Linked DNA regions of Alligator mississippiensis. The protein of the gene in region 1 interacts with the protein of each later gene in a pairwise test. Links are inferred from orthologs where the notes say so. Each region holds a gene or a part of one and is shown on either strand. Other genes may lie near its edges.

What was found. The genes of interacting proteins can lie anywhere in the genome.
Region 2: the proteins of NFKBID (region 1) and SS18 interact in a two-hybrid assay, tested with the Homo sapiens proteins (2 studies listed by BioGRID and IntAct). The two-hybrid records come from large-scale screens. The link is inferred for Alligator mississippiensis from reciprocal best matches to the Homo sapiens genes NFKBID and SS18.

The regions. Positions count from the first base shown.
Region 1 is NC_081839.1:31,299,971-31,307,562, reverse strand, and holds the start of NFKBID (NF-kappa-B inhibitor delta), read left to right. Parts: upstream 1-4,458; 5' UTR 4,459-4,493; coding exon 4,494-4,646; intron 4,647-5,092; coding exon 5,093-5,239; intron 5,240-7,592. Other genes in the region: POU2AF1 (POU domain class 2-associating factor 1), read left to right, coding at 884-1,195. UniProt on the Homo sapiens protein: Regulates the expression of IL-2, IL-6, and other cytokines through regulation on NF-kappa-B activity. Functions in the regulation of inflammatory responses.
Region 2 is NC_081826.1:85,083,575-85,091,752, reverse strand, and holds the start of SS18 (protein SSXT), read right to left. Parts: upstream 3,125-8,178; 5' UTR 3,044-3,124; coding exon 2,975-3,043; intron 2,767-2,974; exon of another isoform or gene 2,470-2,766; coding exon of another isoform or gene 2,458-2,469; intron 1,535-2,457; coding exon 1,458-1,534; intron 1-1,457. UniProt on the Homo sapiens protein: Appears to function synergistically with RBM14 as a transcriptional coactivator. Isoform 1 and isoform 2 function in nuclear receptor coactivation. Isoform 1 and isoform 2 function in general transcriptional coactivation.

The DNA.
Region 1 (7,592 bases):
AAAACTTTTCCTGTGAACTCTTCGAAAAACATAGCTTTTGTGTTCAGGGCCAATGTAATTTGTGAATTGGAGTCTGATTCCTGGTTGAAGCAAAATGAAATGCTTGCCTTTCTGAAAAAGGAGATAAAGTTTTGTCTGGATTGTCACAAACTGATCCTCCCTTCTCCCACCCACTTCTCCCACCATTTTGCAGTTCAGCCACTGAACTGAAAAATTCAGCATCTCCTGGGCTTTATTACCAGAGGGATTGTGTCTTCCCTAGTAAACCGAGTTAAGCTTAACTGTGTTTAGGAGTTAGTTGACATGATGCTGACCATGACTGCTTAACCTAGAGAAGGACAAGCTGTGTTCAGCATTCTGGGCGCGTCTACACATTCAATTAATGTGCCTTAGGTAATGCGCATTAAATCTAGTACCTGCATTGTGGGGTACTGGAAAGATGCGTATTGGCTTATTTTAATGTGCATTAGCTAAAGAGCACTTTTTGGGGGGTGATGCTTTGATGCACATTAACATAGGCTAACATGCATTAAAGCACACATGTAGATATGCCCTCGGTTGCCTACTTGGCACATCCTATTCATACACTCACATGCTAATAGGGCACTGTCAAACAGGCAGCCTGTCCTAATCTTGAACTGATAGCCTTGTAAGCTCGCAAGAATTGAGGTGGAAAGGAGGATAGAAAGATGGTGGGAGCACAGTTTGCACAAGTGCATTCAGCAGGGTGTGATCCCACCTGTTGTGGCTTCCTGGTAGATGGGTTTTTAAAAGGGTTGCATCTCCCATTCTCATCTCCATGTGCACCTACACAAAGACAGGGAAAGGAGCGCTGGCAGCAAGACTGAGAAGCTCTTACTCTGATCTCTTTTGTACGTAACAGCCCAGAAGCACTACTCCAGCTGTGGTGCCTCAGCTGGAGGTGACAGACCAACAAGCACCTCTGACCTATTTCCCGTGGCCGCAGCCCATCTCGGCATTACCGGCATCAACCCTGCAGTATCAGCCAGCTTCCTCCACGCTTCCTGGGCCGCAGTTTGTCCCACTTCCCATCTCCATCCCAGAGCCAGCCCCACAGGAACTGGAGGACGCGAGAAGAGTGATCAACACACTGCCCATTGAAAAGCTGCTGCTAGAAGATGACGACAACGATACGTACGTTTTAAATAACACTCTCTCTGTCGAAGGGCTTTAAAGTCATGCATTTGGGGCCTGATGCTGCTTTCCTTGCTCACCCAAAACTCCAACTTGCAACACAAGTTTTGAGCGTAGAAGAAAAGTAGCTTTGGGCCATTTTGTTTCTTCTTAAGATGTTCCTGGCATTCCCCATTACTGTTCCCTTGGTATGAAAATTGAACTTGCAGTGAAATTCCTCTGTATGCGGAGGATGAGGCTTACGCATCATTAATGTGCTTACCATATTAATGCTTCCAAATCGGGTACATAGATTTGGCGTTGACTGTCAACACGGGGTGAATTTCATCCTGGGATGTGCAGGGTGGTCTCAAACTGACACAGGTGTTTTGGTAGCACATTTGCTAATGCTGTAGTCCCCTTTTGTAGCGTGTGGTAAGACAGATTTGCCTACAAAAGTATTAGCAGGTTTAATTTGCGGGTCTATTTTCTAGAGCTCTGCCTAAATATTACGTAGATCTATCTTTGCTTTGTTCACTCCACCAACTCCACTGCCACCGTTAAGTTGTTTCAGAAAAGGTCAGTGACAGTGCTGGGCCTGAAATGACATATCCTTGTAATTAGACAGCCTTTGGAAAATATTCGTTCTACATTTAGGAATAGTTCCGCTCCTGTGTAAGCACAGCTTGGTAGCCAAGCAAAAGGCTGATATCAGAAACAGAACCGCTGAGACACGGGCCTGTGCTGAGATGCAGCCGGTGCTCTGTATTGTTACAGAGCTGCCCCCAAAGAACTGGGCACTTGCATCCTGATTTCATTCACTGAACATGGTGACCAAATTCTCAGACACCTCTTGACCCAGAGCTGCAGAATCAGCCCAGAGCTGTTAAACAGCAGTGAAGTATTTCCATGTGAAATGTTTCCCCATAACATTAGTGCACGGCTCTCCTGCAGTGGCACACAGAACAGACCCTGGGCCCATACCGGTCAAGGGGAGTTCTGCAAGGTGCAGCTCCATGACAGAAGGTCGTGGAAATAAATGACCTGCTAAAACCAGGCGCTTGGTATCTCAACAAAGTGCAGGTGGGTGGCAATGCAGGCAGCTGGCAGCACTGCAGTTCTTTCTCTTACTCCTGAGCCTTAGCCATTGGAATGATGATATATTATCATGATGTATGATACAACATCCCCTGAAACTGGGGATGGGCCATGTTAAATACCAGAGCTGTTGAGGCCTCTAATGTATCTTATCAATATTCCTAGTATTAGAGAGTCTTTTAAAGTCATGGGCCTGAACAGCACCATCATGCTGGTTTATTTTTCTTCCCTGGAAAGCGAGCAGCATGTACTTCCCTCTGTAATGCAATTGTAAAGATCATTATTGGTGTTCAATAGTACCATGCCACGGACCAAGATCCTTGCAGGAGGCTGTATCTCTTTTAGCATTTGCTAATTGTTTCTTGGATTTCCAAGGGAGTCCCAGCTGATGAACACAATTTCTCTGGGTTTTTCTGCTTCACAAAGCCCAGGATCTTCAGATGATTCTATATTTGGAAGAACATTTTTGACTGAATTTATTCAAAGGGCTGCTCCCTCACACTGTCATGACCTGGTGTCCAGTGCTCCATTTCTTACCCAGGCAATATTTCAAATGGCATCTCAGATTTTGCCTGAGTAAGGACTACAGGATGAGGTTGAAAGTCCATAAGAATTTCAAAGCAGGTTTCAAAATTAACTATTGGCAAATCTAAAGGATTTAAGCATCAGATCATATCAGCGATCATAAAGTTGTCTGAAAACTGCAGTCATTTTGGCTTATTGATGATATTAGTGGCTTAAATTTGCAGAAAAACCCAGCAAAGAAATTAACTAGCAGAGGCTTGGTTCACCACTGTTTACTCCAGGTTTGCAAAGACAGCCAAGTTATCCTGGTCTAGGACTGGGGTGGCACAGTTGTGAATCAGACCTGAGGTTGCTCCAATTTGTGTTAACCTTCTTTGAGTTTCTTGTATGTAAAATCCCCTGGTGTGTACACAGTGATGATGTGTTGTCTGTGAATTTCTTTCTGGGTTGTTCTGTTAAATGAAAAAAAAAAAAAGAAAAAAAATCTCAATAAAGATCTACAGTAACTTTTCTATGCCTAGAGTGTTTTCTTTTCCTAGCTGTGGCATTTGGCACACTATAACCACACTGGTCTGAAATCAATAATGTTAGCTTGATAGCATATTTGCAGAAATATAAACAGAGATTAGTGATTTGGCTTTGCACTGATTTTTGAAATATAATGTACACTGAACATGGATGCCAAGACCTGAAAGTGGTCTCAAAACCTGGCTCTCTGGAGTAGTCCTTACTCTTGCAAGTCATGCCTCTGTTCATGTGTGTTTCATGATGCCTGTTATCTCTATCCCTGTAGTGCCTACAGGCTTTCAGTGAGTGTGGGGCATGTCACCCCAGCCTCTTTACAAACACATAGCAGGAGATGCCTCCTGTCTTGAAGGGCCTGAACTCTCAATGGAGAAGATAGACAAGTCAAGCATCTGGGTGGAATAAAGCTGAGAGGTCTGCTGACCTCCAGTCCAGTGGTTTATCTACCTGCTAGATCCTCACCTCCTAGGGAAGACAGAAAAGATTGGCATGATCGTTCATTGGCAGGATCAGGCCAAACTCTGCTGGTGCAGCTGAAGCTCCATCGTGAAGCTGTGCGATGTTACCTCAACAGACAATTGGTCTGTGCAATAACTTTGGACCCTGATTTGTTTCCTTCATATTGTGTCAGCCCTTTTGAAAGCAGATTCCTTTTTGCTAATTTGGCCAAGTTAACTGGCACCCTAATGCAGTTTGATGGATTGATAATGCATTAAGGTTTCAGCACCTTTGTATTTTTTCTCTTGAGGTTGAAAGTCCACATACTTTAGCTGACGCACTCCCTAACATGGCCCTAGTCCCAATAGCCTTCATTTCATGCAGACGTCTCCTTATTCTGGCAGAAATAATCTGTGCAAGAAGTGAGGGGGTGTGGGTTAGAAATCAGACAAGCAGTTAACCTTTGCAGGCCTTTTCAGACACGGTAGAATATGGGCCTGGAACAAACCGTTTGAGGCGACTGCAAAGAGCAGAACAGAGTCGACTATGAAAACAATTATTTATCCCTCATCTTTTAAGGGGAACTTGCAGAATAATATTTCGGAATGAGAAAGCAGGCCAGCAGAATGGCAATACCACCAATGCCCACCATGTGATATTTCCCATTGTGGAAATTTTAGACCCTAATTTCCTTTCGGTGCACACAGCTGGAGAGTCCAGAGTCCCCTGCGTAGAGCCACAAAGCAGAGGTTCTGTACAACTTAACCGCAGGGATGACCCATGCCGAGGCAGTGATCAGTGTCTTTATTTGCTGTCTTAGAATTCTACATATTTATGCAGCTAAAGGTATGAGGGCGTACACGCTGGCAGCCGCAGAGCGGATGAGAGAACTGCGAAGACTCGATGCCAAGGAGCACAGAGGAAAGGTAAACTTTTTTACCGTTTTTATTTTTAAACCAGGAAACATGCCTTTTTCCTGGTAAAATCAGAAGTGCAGCCTTGGGGCCATCCATGGTTTTTAATTCCATTTCGTGTCTACCATCAAACATGTGGAACACAAGTAATGGGGGTGAATTGCTTGGGGGTGAATTTCACCCTGGGAACAGTGCAAGATTTGCTTCACGGCTTCAAGCTGGTAGCTCAGGCAGGTCAAGCTTCTGTCTCTCCCCCTACTCTAGACCAATACGGCTACAACCTGGATACCTGACGTATCCCAAGAGGCATATTGCACTCTGCCGGGAGCTCTCTCGGGCAACAGGAGGGTTCATTCTTCCCTGCACCGACTCTACTTCCAGCCCCATTTTCTTTTGTTGGTAATCTGTCATGCTGTTGCCAGAGTCTTGCATTATATTTATCTTGGTGCTATTTTCAGACTCCTCTGTTGGTGGCTGTAACTGCCAAGCAGCCAGCCATAGTCAATGATTTGCTACTGACAGGGGCAGATGTCAGTGCTGTTGATGACAAAGGGCAATCAGCTTTACATCTCGCCGCGACATATGGTTACGCCCAGGTCCTCCAGGTAAGAAGGGTTTTATGATTTTAATGGCACACACTGTAAAAAATACGATACAATGGCATGACTGATTGAGAGATCCAGGCCTAGCAGAAATGCCTCCAGAGTAAAGATGTCTGGATGTAAAGATCTTTGACTTATTTTCATGCTTTCCATTCACAAAGCTGAAGCCTATTTGCAATGAATCCACCACTTGCCGCTGTTGGAGATGGCATTTGGGGCTAAATAGACCATTGTTCTGACCCTGTCTGACAGCTGTCATATTCTTATTTTACACTTTAGCCTTTCACTTCCAAGGAACTTGTTGTATCACATCCAGATGGCAGTCGTAATTCATAATCTGAGTTCTGGGCCAAACTTTGTAGTTGAAATCTAGGTATATTATTTATATTGTATTAGTACCCAGAGTCGCAATCAGACCTGGGCCCTTTTGGACTCTGCTTCATATAAACATGTCAAACACATGTTCAGTGCTTTGAGCCCCTGAGTTAGTTTGCTGGTGGAAGAGACAATGAGAAGGTGTAACAACCAAACAGAAGGAGACATTTCTGTTTGTATTTCAAAGGGCACATCTACACAACAGACCTCTTCCAGCAAAGCTTTGTTGGTGGGACATGAGCCCTGATGGATTGGGCTATGCCAGCAAAATTCCTTACACAATCCCTACCCATACAACTCAGCTAGGCTGGTACAGCTCATTGTGCCTAACAGCTAGTGGTAGATAAAGCTATATCAAGAGCAGCTTTGCCAGTATAATCTACATCCACAATGGAAGCACTTTGCCATGACAGTACAGCAGCATTCTTACACGATGGGCGTGTCTACACATGCATTTACGCCGGATTCAATTTACTGTGCAGTAAGCAGGAATAGGCTAGTATCTACATGTGCAGGAGTTAAAGCACATTAATGCTGTGTGTGGACTGACTTGGGACTCATGTTAGTCCCGAGTCAGTCCACACACACCATGTTACTGCACAATAAGAAGTCTACACGCCCGTAACTGTGCAGTAACTAATCAGGCGTAAATGTGATACCTGCATGATGCAGGTATCAAATTTATGCTCAAGTCAGCATAAGACACCATATTTACTGTGCAGTATGGGTGTGCACATAGATTCATAGATGTTAGGGTCGGAAGGGACCTCAATAGATCATCAAGTCCAATCCCCTGCATAAGCAGGAAAGAGTGCTGGGTCTAGATGACCCCAGCTAGATACTCGTCTAACCTCCTCTTGAAGACCCCCAGGGTAGGGGAGAGCACCACCTCCCTTGGGAGCCCGTTCCAGACCTTGGCCACTCGAACTGTGAAGAAGTTCTTCCTAATGTCTAGTCTAAATCTGCTCTCTGCTAGCTTGTGGCCATTGTTTCTTGTAACCCCCGGGGGTGCCTTGGTGAATAAATCATCACCTATTCCCTTCTGTGCCCCCGTGATGAACTTATAAGCAGCCACAAGGTCGCCTCTCAACCTTCTCTTGCGGAGGCTGAAAAGGTCCAGTTTCTCTAGTCTCTCCTCGTAGGGCTTGGTCTGCAGGCCCTTGACCATACGAGTTGCCCTTCTCTGGACCCTCTCCAGGTTATCCGCATCCTTCTTGAAGTGCGGCGCCCAGAATTGCACGCAGTACTCCAACTGCGGTCTGACCAGCGCCCGACAGAGGGGAAGTATCACCTCCCTGGACCTATTCGTCATGCATCTGCTGATGCACGATAAAGTGCCATTGGCTTTTCTGATGGCTTCGTCACACTGCCAGCTCATGTTCATCTTGGAGTCCACTAGGACTCCAACATCCCTTTCCACTTCCGTGCCACCCAGCAGGTCATTCCCTAGGCTGTAGGTGTGCTGGACATTTTTCCTCCCTAGGTGCAGCACTTTGCATTTCTCCTTGTTGAACTGCATCCTGTTGTTTTCTGCCCACTTGTGCAACCTATCCAGGTCTGCTTGCAGCTGTTCCCTGCCCTCCGGCGTGTCCACTTCTCCCCATAGCTTTGTGTCATCTGCAAACTTGGACAGAGTACATTTGACTCCCTTGTCCAAGTCGCTGATGAAGACATTAAAGAGTATCGGTCCAAGGACCGAACCCTGCGGGACCCCACTGCCCACACCCTTCCAGGTCGAGACCGACCCATCCACCACGACTCTCTGGGTGCGACCCTCTAGCCAATTCGCCACCCACCGGACTGTGCAGTCATCTACATCACAGCCTCTTAACTTGTTCACCAGTATGGGGTGGGATACCGTATCGAAGGCCTTCCTGAAGTCTAAACATGTAGACGCACACCCATACTGTGCAGTAATTTTGGTTACTGCACAGTAAATACACGTGTAGACATGCCCGGTAGCAATGTTTAGTGGGCTATG
Region 2 (8,178 bases), on another chromosome or scaffold:
AGGAGCAAAAGGAACCAAGAAACACAGACCAGGCATCTAGGCTGCCAAAAATTAAGCAGCAGTAGGAGAGACAATAAACCACTGAAGATTATTGTAAATTCCCACCTTCCCTGGCAAACAGAAAGCAAGAAAAGGTGATTTAAAGCTAAGTACCCAGCCAACATTATAATTACTGAAACCCATAAACAAGACTGTGCAGAGAACACCAGGGAGAATTATTAAATATACCTATTAATATCTGGTAGAGATATTTTCAGCTACTGCATGCACGCATTTAGCTTATAAAATGCAAATCCAACCAAAGTCCTATTATGCCTCAGTGCTCTGTTGAGAGACCTGGATCTCTTCAGGCTATACAAAAGACGGCTGAGGGGTGACCTTGTGGCCGCCTATAAATTTATCAGGAGAGGACAGCAGGGAATTGGGAATGCGTTGTTTACCAGAGCGCCTCAGGGAGTAACAGGAATAATAGGTGCAAACTAGCGGAGAGTAGATTTAGGTTAGACATTAGGAAGACATTTTTTACAATAAGGGTGGCCAGAGTCTGGAATGGGCTTCCAAGAGAGGTTGTGCTGTCACCTAACTTGGAGGTCTTAAAGAGGAGGCTTAACAATCACCTGGCAGGGGTCATCTGACCTAGGTCCTCTTTCCTGCCAGGGGCAGGGGGTCAGACACGATGATCCACTGGGTCCCTTGCGAGACTATAATCTATGAATCTACAAATGCTGCTTCCCTAGTAACCTAAAACACTGAAAATTAAAAGCACCAAATTCCTGCTAATACTACTGTTAACCTTATGTGCAGAGATACAAGCACGATCTTTTAGTGGGGCAGCACTCAAAGAACGAGCAACAGCAGCAGGAAGGAGTTGTTTGAGTGTCACTCTCCAATCAAGCAGCATTTGAAAGCAGCACAAAGTAAATGCAGAAAGTTAAGATGAAGGGGTTTGTGTTGGTACTTTCTTAACATTAATTAACTAATTCCAAATGGAAATATAACCAACTCTTCTTGGCCAAAAACAGGCTTGTCATTATGCATTCATTTATAGCAAGAAGAGGTCACATTTGGTTGGGCGTAAAAGTTTTGGATCCATTTCAAGTTTCCTCTTCCATACTCTTGTTTCTTCCCAATTTTTTCAAGTAATCTAACCCTTCTCTTCAAGATATGATTAAGACACTGAAACATATGCAAGAATCTATATATTTTTGGTTCTACACATTTTATTCCATCTAACATATGCTAATCAAATTAAAATAGAACTTCTGTCGCTTTGAAAAAGAAAAAATAAATATTAATAAGCTAAATTTAAAAAAAAAAAATCAAGAACACAGCATCATTAGGAATGTTTTTACAAACTAGTTGGCACAATTCTCTCATGGGAAGATGTGAGCACACTGGAGTTTAGTTACATCGTTGATTTTACTAATTACAAAAATACAGTCAGATTAACATCTTACTGAGAGCACTCTGAGGTCTTCCCTTTATTCTGATAGTCCATTATACACTGGATGAGATGGTTATTTTCATCCAACATCTGAAATAACAAAAACATAAACATGGAATAAGTTTAAACACTCTTTGAAAAGGAACTGAAAAAGCGATACTGACTTCCACTTCCTAACCAACATGACTGTTCAAAAAGTGCTTTTATAAAAGGGGTCTGCTACTGCATCTGTAGAACTTTCCCCTCCTCTTATCCTTCTCTCCCCACTTTCCATTTTTAGGGCTGTGTGTCAAGTCACTACTAAAGTTACAGTTGCCAAAGATTTTCTATTTGAGCATCTATTGTCTTCTTATTTTAATGTTTCAAAAGACTCCACATTTGATCTTTGCTCAGATGCTTGTTTTGGAAACTCTATGAAAAAAAAAAAAAGTCCTCTTCCCTACTAGAAAGCAATGTTGATTTAAGAACAACAACACATATAGGCAAAAAAAAAGTTAAAAAACTTACTTACAAGTAGCCCTCAACACGAAGTGCTTTTGAAAAACAAAATCAGAAATTATGAAGCATTTTATTAATAGTTGGCATAACTGGTATGATTTTTCTACCAGACTGTATATGCCTTTGGGATTGTGAGTTCGCATGTATTAATGTTTTAGTCAGAAGCTATTGTCATGAAATAGCACAGCTCCTACTTATCCACAAAAAGGACTCTTACAAGTTTCTCAATGAGTGCACACCAACTGCAGGTGCTTCCTCAGCCTGATGACGGGTGTTTAAACCCGGAAGCTTGCTAAGAAACATTTTTTTCAACTATTTCAGTTGGTCTAATAAAAGATATCAGATGTGCCCACAGAAACCTTGTCTGCCTATGTCTTTAAACCAATACGGCTACAACTTGCACCCCTCCAAAATAATGAAAGTCATAACAGCCAGCCACACGCATCTCCAGGAGAAAATTTCTCCTCCCACTGAACTTGAAATTTACCCTGAAAGGCAAAGAGAGGTGGCAATACCATGGAGCTCATTAGGCGCTTGGCTACTGCTGGAAGTTTTGCACCAATGACTCTCAAGCAGGACGTTGCAGCGCCATGGGGCACGCCACCTTAGCGCAGGAGGCGTGCAAACACGGCTCCTCACGCAGGAACGAGGGGCCACAACACAAAAGCAGCAGGTCTTCCGTTCAAAAAACAAACACTAAGTTTTTTTTCCACCCAGCCTGTCCCTGGAGAGCCGAACTTGCTGCCCCCGCGTGCTGCGGAAGCCGACGCTTGAAGCCAGATGCCCAAAAGAAGGAGTGGACACGTTCCCGGAGGAGAGGGGCCGCGGTACCCATTGAGCCGCCCGCCGGGGAAGCTGCGCGGCTCTCCTTCCCGCCGGGGGGAGCGGAGGCAGGGCCGGGCGGACGGGACAGCCTATCCCTCGGCACAAAGGCCGGGAAAGTGCGGGGCGGGGCGGCGCGGGCCGAGCCCCGGCTATGCCCACCTCCGCCCACCCGCGGGCCCCCGGGGGCAGCGCCCGACCGCGCCTCACCTTCTGGATGGCGGCTGGGGTGATCTCGCCCTTCCCCCGCTGCCTCGGGGCCGCGAACGCCACCGACATGTCGGGCCCCGCGGGCAGCTGCGGCCCCAGGCCCGGCGGATGGGGGCGGGGTGGGGGAGGCGGCAGCTCCGGCCCATGAGCTCAGCGCCACGGCAAGCGGGGGGAGGGGCGGGCTGTCGGGCCGCACCATTCGCATCCCGAAGGAGGGGGGTGAGTGCACACCCCGGCAGTGTAACGCCTCTCCTCCGCGCCCTGCAAGCAGCCTATGAGGAGGCCCCGAAGCCACAGCTCCTCCGCTACGCGCGGGGGTAGGCGGGTACCGAAGGCCGGCTTTTAAGTGCGTTATTTTGGTGGATCCATTTCCTCTCCTCGCCTCTCTTCTCCTCTTGGGACGTGGTACGTTCCTACCCGACGCTCGTCCGGCTCAGAGTAGGCGGCAAGTGGTACGGCCCGGGGGGGGCAGGATGTTCATGTGACAAGGGAAGGCGCGATGTCTCCCCCCTCCCTCCGACTTGGTTGCACCCAGGCAGGGAGCACGCGGGGGCGGGGCCTGCTGGCGCGCTCGCAGCTCCGCGCTCCTTTGACTGCTCAGAGCCCGAGCCCGATGGCGCATGCGCAGAGCCCACGCCGGGCTCCCAGCGAACCTCAGCCTCACGCGTCTGTGACGCGCGTGGGCTTCAGTTCTGTGCCACGCGGGAGAGGGCAGGAGGCATCTGCCCCACAAACCTGCCCTTCACTGGCGCCAGCTGCTGCTCCATCCCCTGCTCTTCCAGCTCCCTCCCCCGTCTGCGGCAGAGATGCCCATTCTCCAGCCATGCCACAGGTGGCTGCCCTGGGTCCAGGAGGCTGGTGCCAAAGAGGAGAAACGTGCCAAGCTGCCACGTTCTTTGAAGTCAGCTCCTGTTTGCTAGAGACAGTGGGAGACCCAGGCGCTGCCTCAGGCTCTGGCTGAGACACTACAGGCTTGCCTTACTCAGCCTGCACTGTCTCCAGGGCCAGATCCAGGCAGGTGCAGTGATGTAGCTGCATGAGCGTTGCCAAGTCCTAAATATGAAATTATCATACTGGAAGTTCAAAATTATTCTATTTGCTGAAAAACTATGGTATGCTGAAAAAGATGCAAATAAGTCTTCTTATTTACTTTATATTGCTCACTATATTATCTGCAGTGAGTGAGTGAGAACTGGGTCATCAAAGTTGAAACATTTCTTTATTTTGAGACAAGTAGTAATACAAAAGTACTAGAAGCAAATCCAGAAGTAATGGATAGAGGATTTATATATATATATAACTTTATATAAATAAATAAATATAATTACAAAAACAAACAAACCCAGAAGTCATTTAAGACTCCCTGACAGTGACTTGGGTTTTGCATATGCTGCAGCAATAAGCTGTCTCAAAAATTAGCATACGTTTTGGGGGTTCAGGTTGTTGCTGTGTTGGTCTAGGGACACAGTCAGACAAGGTTTTTTTGGTAAATCCAGTATCTTTTACCAAACCAACTTAAATACTTGGAAAAAAATCTTCTTAGCAAGCTTTCGGGTACCAACTGAATGGCTTTCTTGCATAGGTACTGGCCTCTTGCTGCTTTACCACTACATCCAGGAAGAGACCAGACCATCTGAAGATGCTTCCTCATTCTGACAAAGGGTGTGTGTGACTGAAAGCTTGCTAAGAATTTTTCCAACTATTTGAGTTGGTCTAATATATCAGATTTAACCAAAGAACCTTGTCTGCCATCATACATGTTGCAGGGTGAACACTTTTACTATTATTGATTGTACATCATACAGGGGTTGAAACTCATACAAATATGATAATTATCATACACCTGGCAACATTTCGCTGCACACACCACCCCTGGCCCCCACTTTGATTCCTGGCTCCACCCAAAGTTTAAAACCAACAGGCTGGCAGTAGCAACAGCGTTTCTCATCTGGCAATGCTAAAGGTGTCAATTGATTTCATTGCTCATTCGTATCCACCTGATTCCTTCCAAATTCTTCATCCCATTGGTGCTAAACTACCCTCTCTCCTTTGAATTGCCTTGATCTACCCATGAAGCTCACCTTTGTTCTACAACACTGCTGTCTGTTTGCTGCTCCTAGGAATGTAGCTCCTATTGCACAGCCCTGCAGACTCTTTTTAACTCATTCCAATGAAGTTATACTTGTTTTTACATCAACCTCAAACAATATCACAGCCCTTGGCCCCTAGCATATTAGTAAAACTTGTAGGTTCTTTTTACCTGAAGAAAAACATGGGTTGTTACATGTGATGATGCACCTCACAATGTGCACCTCCCTTTTCAAAATCCTAGATCTACCCACTACCTCCCAAACCCCAAGTAGGCTATGAGCCCTGGCACATGCTCAATGCCACACTACAACTGCACTGCTACTGGGTCTGTGTGCTGTTGGAAGTTACTATTGTATTCACCCAATATCCTCACTTCTTTCATGCCGGCTATGGTTCTCTCTGCTCTCAGAATGGCATTTCCTTTGCCAGGCCTCTGAATTAGTATCCTCAGTTGACCTGATGCTCATCTGGCTGGCTGGCTGTACTAGAATTGCCTTTGGTCCAATCCTTTCAGTCCAGGTCATTCTAGGGAGGTAGGATAGTGCAAGAAGATTCACTACACATTTGCCTAGGATGTTTCACTTACTGTATTTAATATTTTACTTATCACCATGTTATCTGCATTAACTTTACCTCTCTAGTTCCTCTCCTTTGCCTTCCTCACACAGTTACAGTACTATTATTATTATCCTTTCCTTAGCAATCTTTTGTTTTCATATTATAATGTAAAGTTGTAAGGATTCCATATTCATTAACAGTAACTAAACTCAATGAAAATATAGGCAAGATACTGCAGGACTGTTTTAGCATAGAAAAGAACATTCACACTCAAAGCCTACATTTAAATAATAGCACAAGATCACACAAGCAAGAAAATAAATAGCTACAATGAAAATGTGCCACATGTCTCAGAACACATAACCACAACAGGGTGTCTTCTTTATGACTTTCTTAATGTACTACAATATGCCTAGATATTGAAGGACATATGGCATATTTTCTCCTTAATTGCACATTTCTTTTCTAGTGTGAGTTAGTTACCACCTTAGCATTATTTAATTGTAATTTGGATGTGTAAATCTAGATCACCACCAAGAGTTTAAAACGTGAGTATATTTTATTCAGTTGTTTCTCCCACCTCTGCTCACCTCACTTTGAAAAGTATAGCCTCCTTATTGTTATGAAGGATTTTGATGTTTTCACATCTTTTTTTTTCTGTCCGTTACTCTATTTCCAAGATGACAAATAGCAAGGAGAAATTGTCTGTGAAGCTAACCTTGGCAGAATAGTACATATGACCTCCTGAAAAAACTACCTATTGGGATTGAGTTAATGGCAAGTGAGGAATTTTAGCCCCTTCAGGACAGGACCAAAACTCATTTAATTGAGACTACTTTACTTTTGAAGAAATCTTTCTTCACTTTACATATGAAGAAACCTATGGATTGTTTCCTACTGAGATCTTGTAATAGTACTGAAAAATGTATCCTGCTGCCTAGCTCTTGACTAAGTCCACTGTCTCTGTGTCAGCTTTATTTGAACAAAATTATCTGAATTAGAAAAGCCAGGCAAGAAGAGGGATGAAGAAAAAATCTACTTCATGACCAAGCAGGCACAGAGTTGCTGGCTAGACATTGTAACACTACCGTTTTCAAAACTGCCAGGCAAAAAAGAAATAAAAAACGGGAAAGTTTCAGGGTGCCTCCACCTGCTTTTACCTTTTTGATAGAAGGTTCCAATATCCATTATAAACTTTAGAAGGACTCTAACAAACTGTGTGTTTATCATGACTCCCCAGTAAAAGCCTGGATATATTGCTGACAATGTGCAGTGCTTATTGTACATTTACCTTGGATGGGTGAGAAGCAAGCAGAGTATCTTTAAGAGCTTGTTTTGATACTTTGGGTTTATTAGCTCTGGTTAATTTAGAAAAGTTAGTGTATTTGAAGCCCTTGCCAGGTAAGACTGTTTTCTCATCTTGACATGAAAAAAAGAAAACAGAATATTTTAAATTAACAGCATGAGCACAAAACAGCAGCAGCCAGTTCTAAGGGAGTGACAGGAATCAAAATTTGATAGCTGTGAAGGAAAATCCAAAAAAGAAGAAAGATTAATTTTGGCATAGTTTCTCCCCAAGTTTTCACTGACTGCTGTAAGCCTGATCCTGGAACTGTTTGCTGTGTCAGTGAATTCAGTTGCAATGCAGGGCCAGCACTTTGAGTTCTGCCTATTTGAAGGGGTGGGTTTTTTAACATAGTCCAAACTGTGTTTCTAAACATTTGTTTGTTAACAATATACGCAATGAAGAAACACAACCTGACTGGGGGGAAATGCCCTTTGATTGTGATTTGGTGCAACTCTTTTGGTGCTTTTTACACGGTAAAAGGGATTATATCAGGAGTAGAAAGTTGTCTTGAATTTATTGTATTCATTGGCTAGTTTCTTTTTGCCTAGTTCTTTCCATTTTGACATTTATGTTTTGCTTTGACATTTGTGTAGAATATTAATAAAGAGCAATGCTTAAAATATGAACCTATGTGTTCTGATATAAAATGAACAAGCCAAATACTATTGCACATTACAATGGTATTGGTGGCTCTATCGTCTTCCAGGGAGACTATAACAAAACCAGAAAAAATCCCTGTGATGCTAAATTTTTACTATAGTATCTGTCGTGTTAGTTGCAAGTGTTAATATTTAGAATAAAAAATGCATGCCATGTTGAACAGTCAGCATTAATGGGAGCAAACAGCACCATTGCAGAGAGAAAATCTTTCAGAGTCCTGATTTTATTCTTCAAAAGGGAATCTCAAACTAGTAGGAATGTATGCTATAAATAAAGAATAACATAAGAACGTCTGATGTAATCCTCCTTAGAGCTGAACATTATATAAGAATTCCTAGAGATTAACATTTTATTTCACAACACACAGGGAAAGTACTACAGTGCAGTGACTTCACTTGTGAGCGTCAGTAACAAATCAGAAAAGACACATAAGGGATGCCATCTACTACCAAGCATTCCTGTAGCAAAAATAGCAAAGATGTTGGTGACTTGCCTGCTCCTCTGAAAGGCAATAGGATTGTGGTGAAGAGACTTTCCTGCAGGGGTT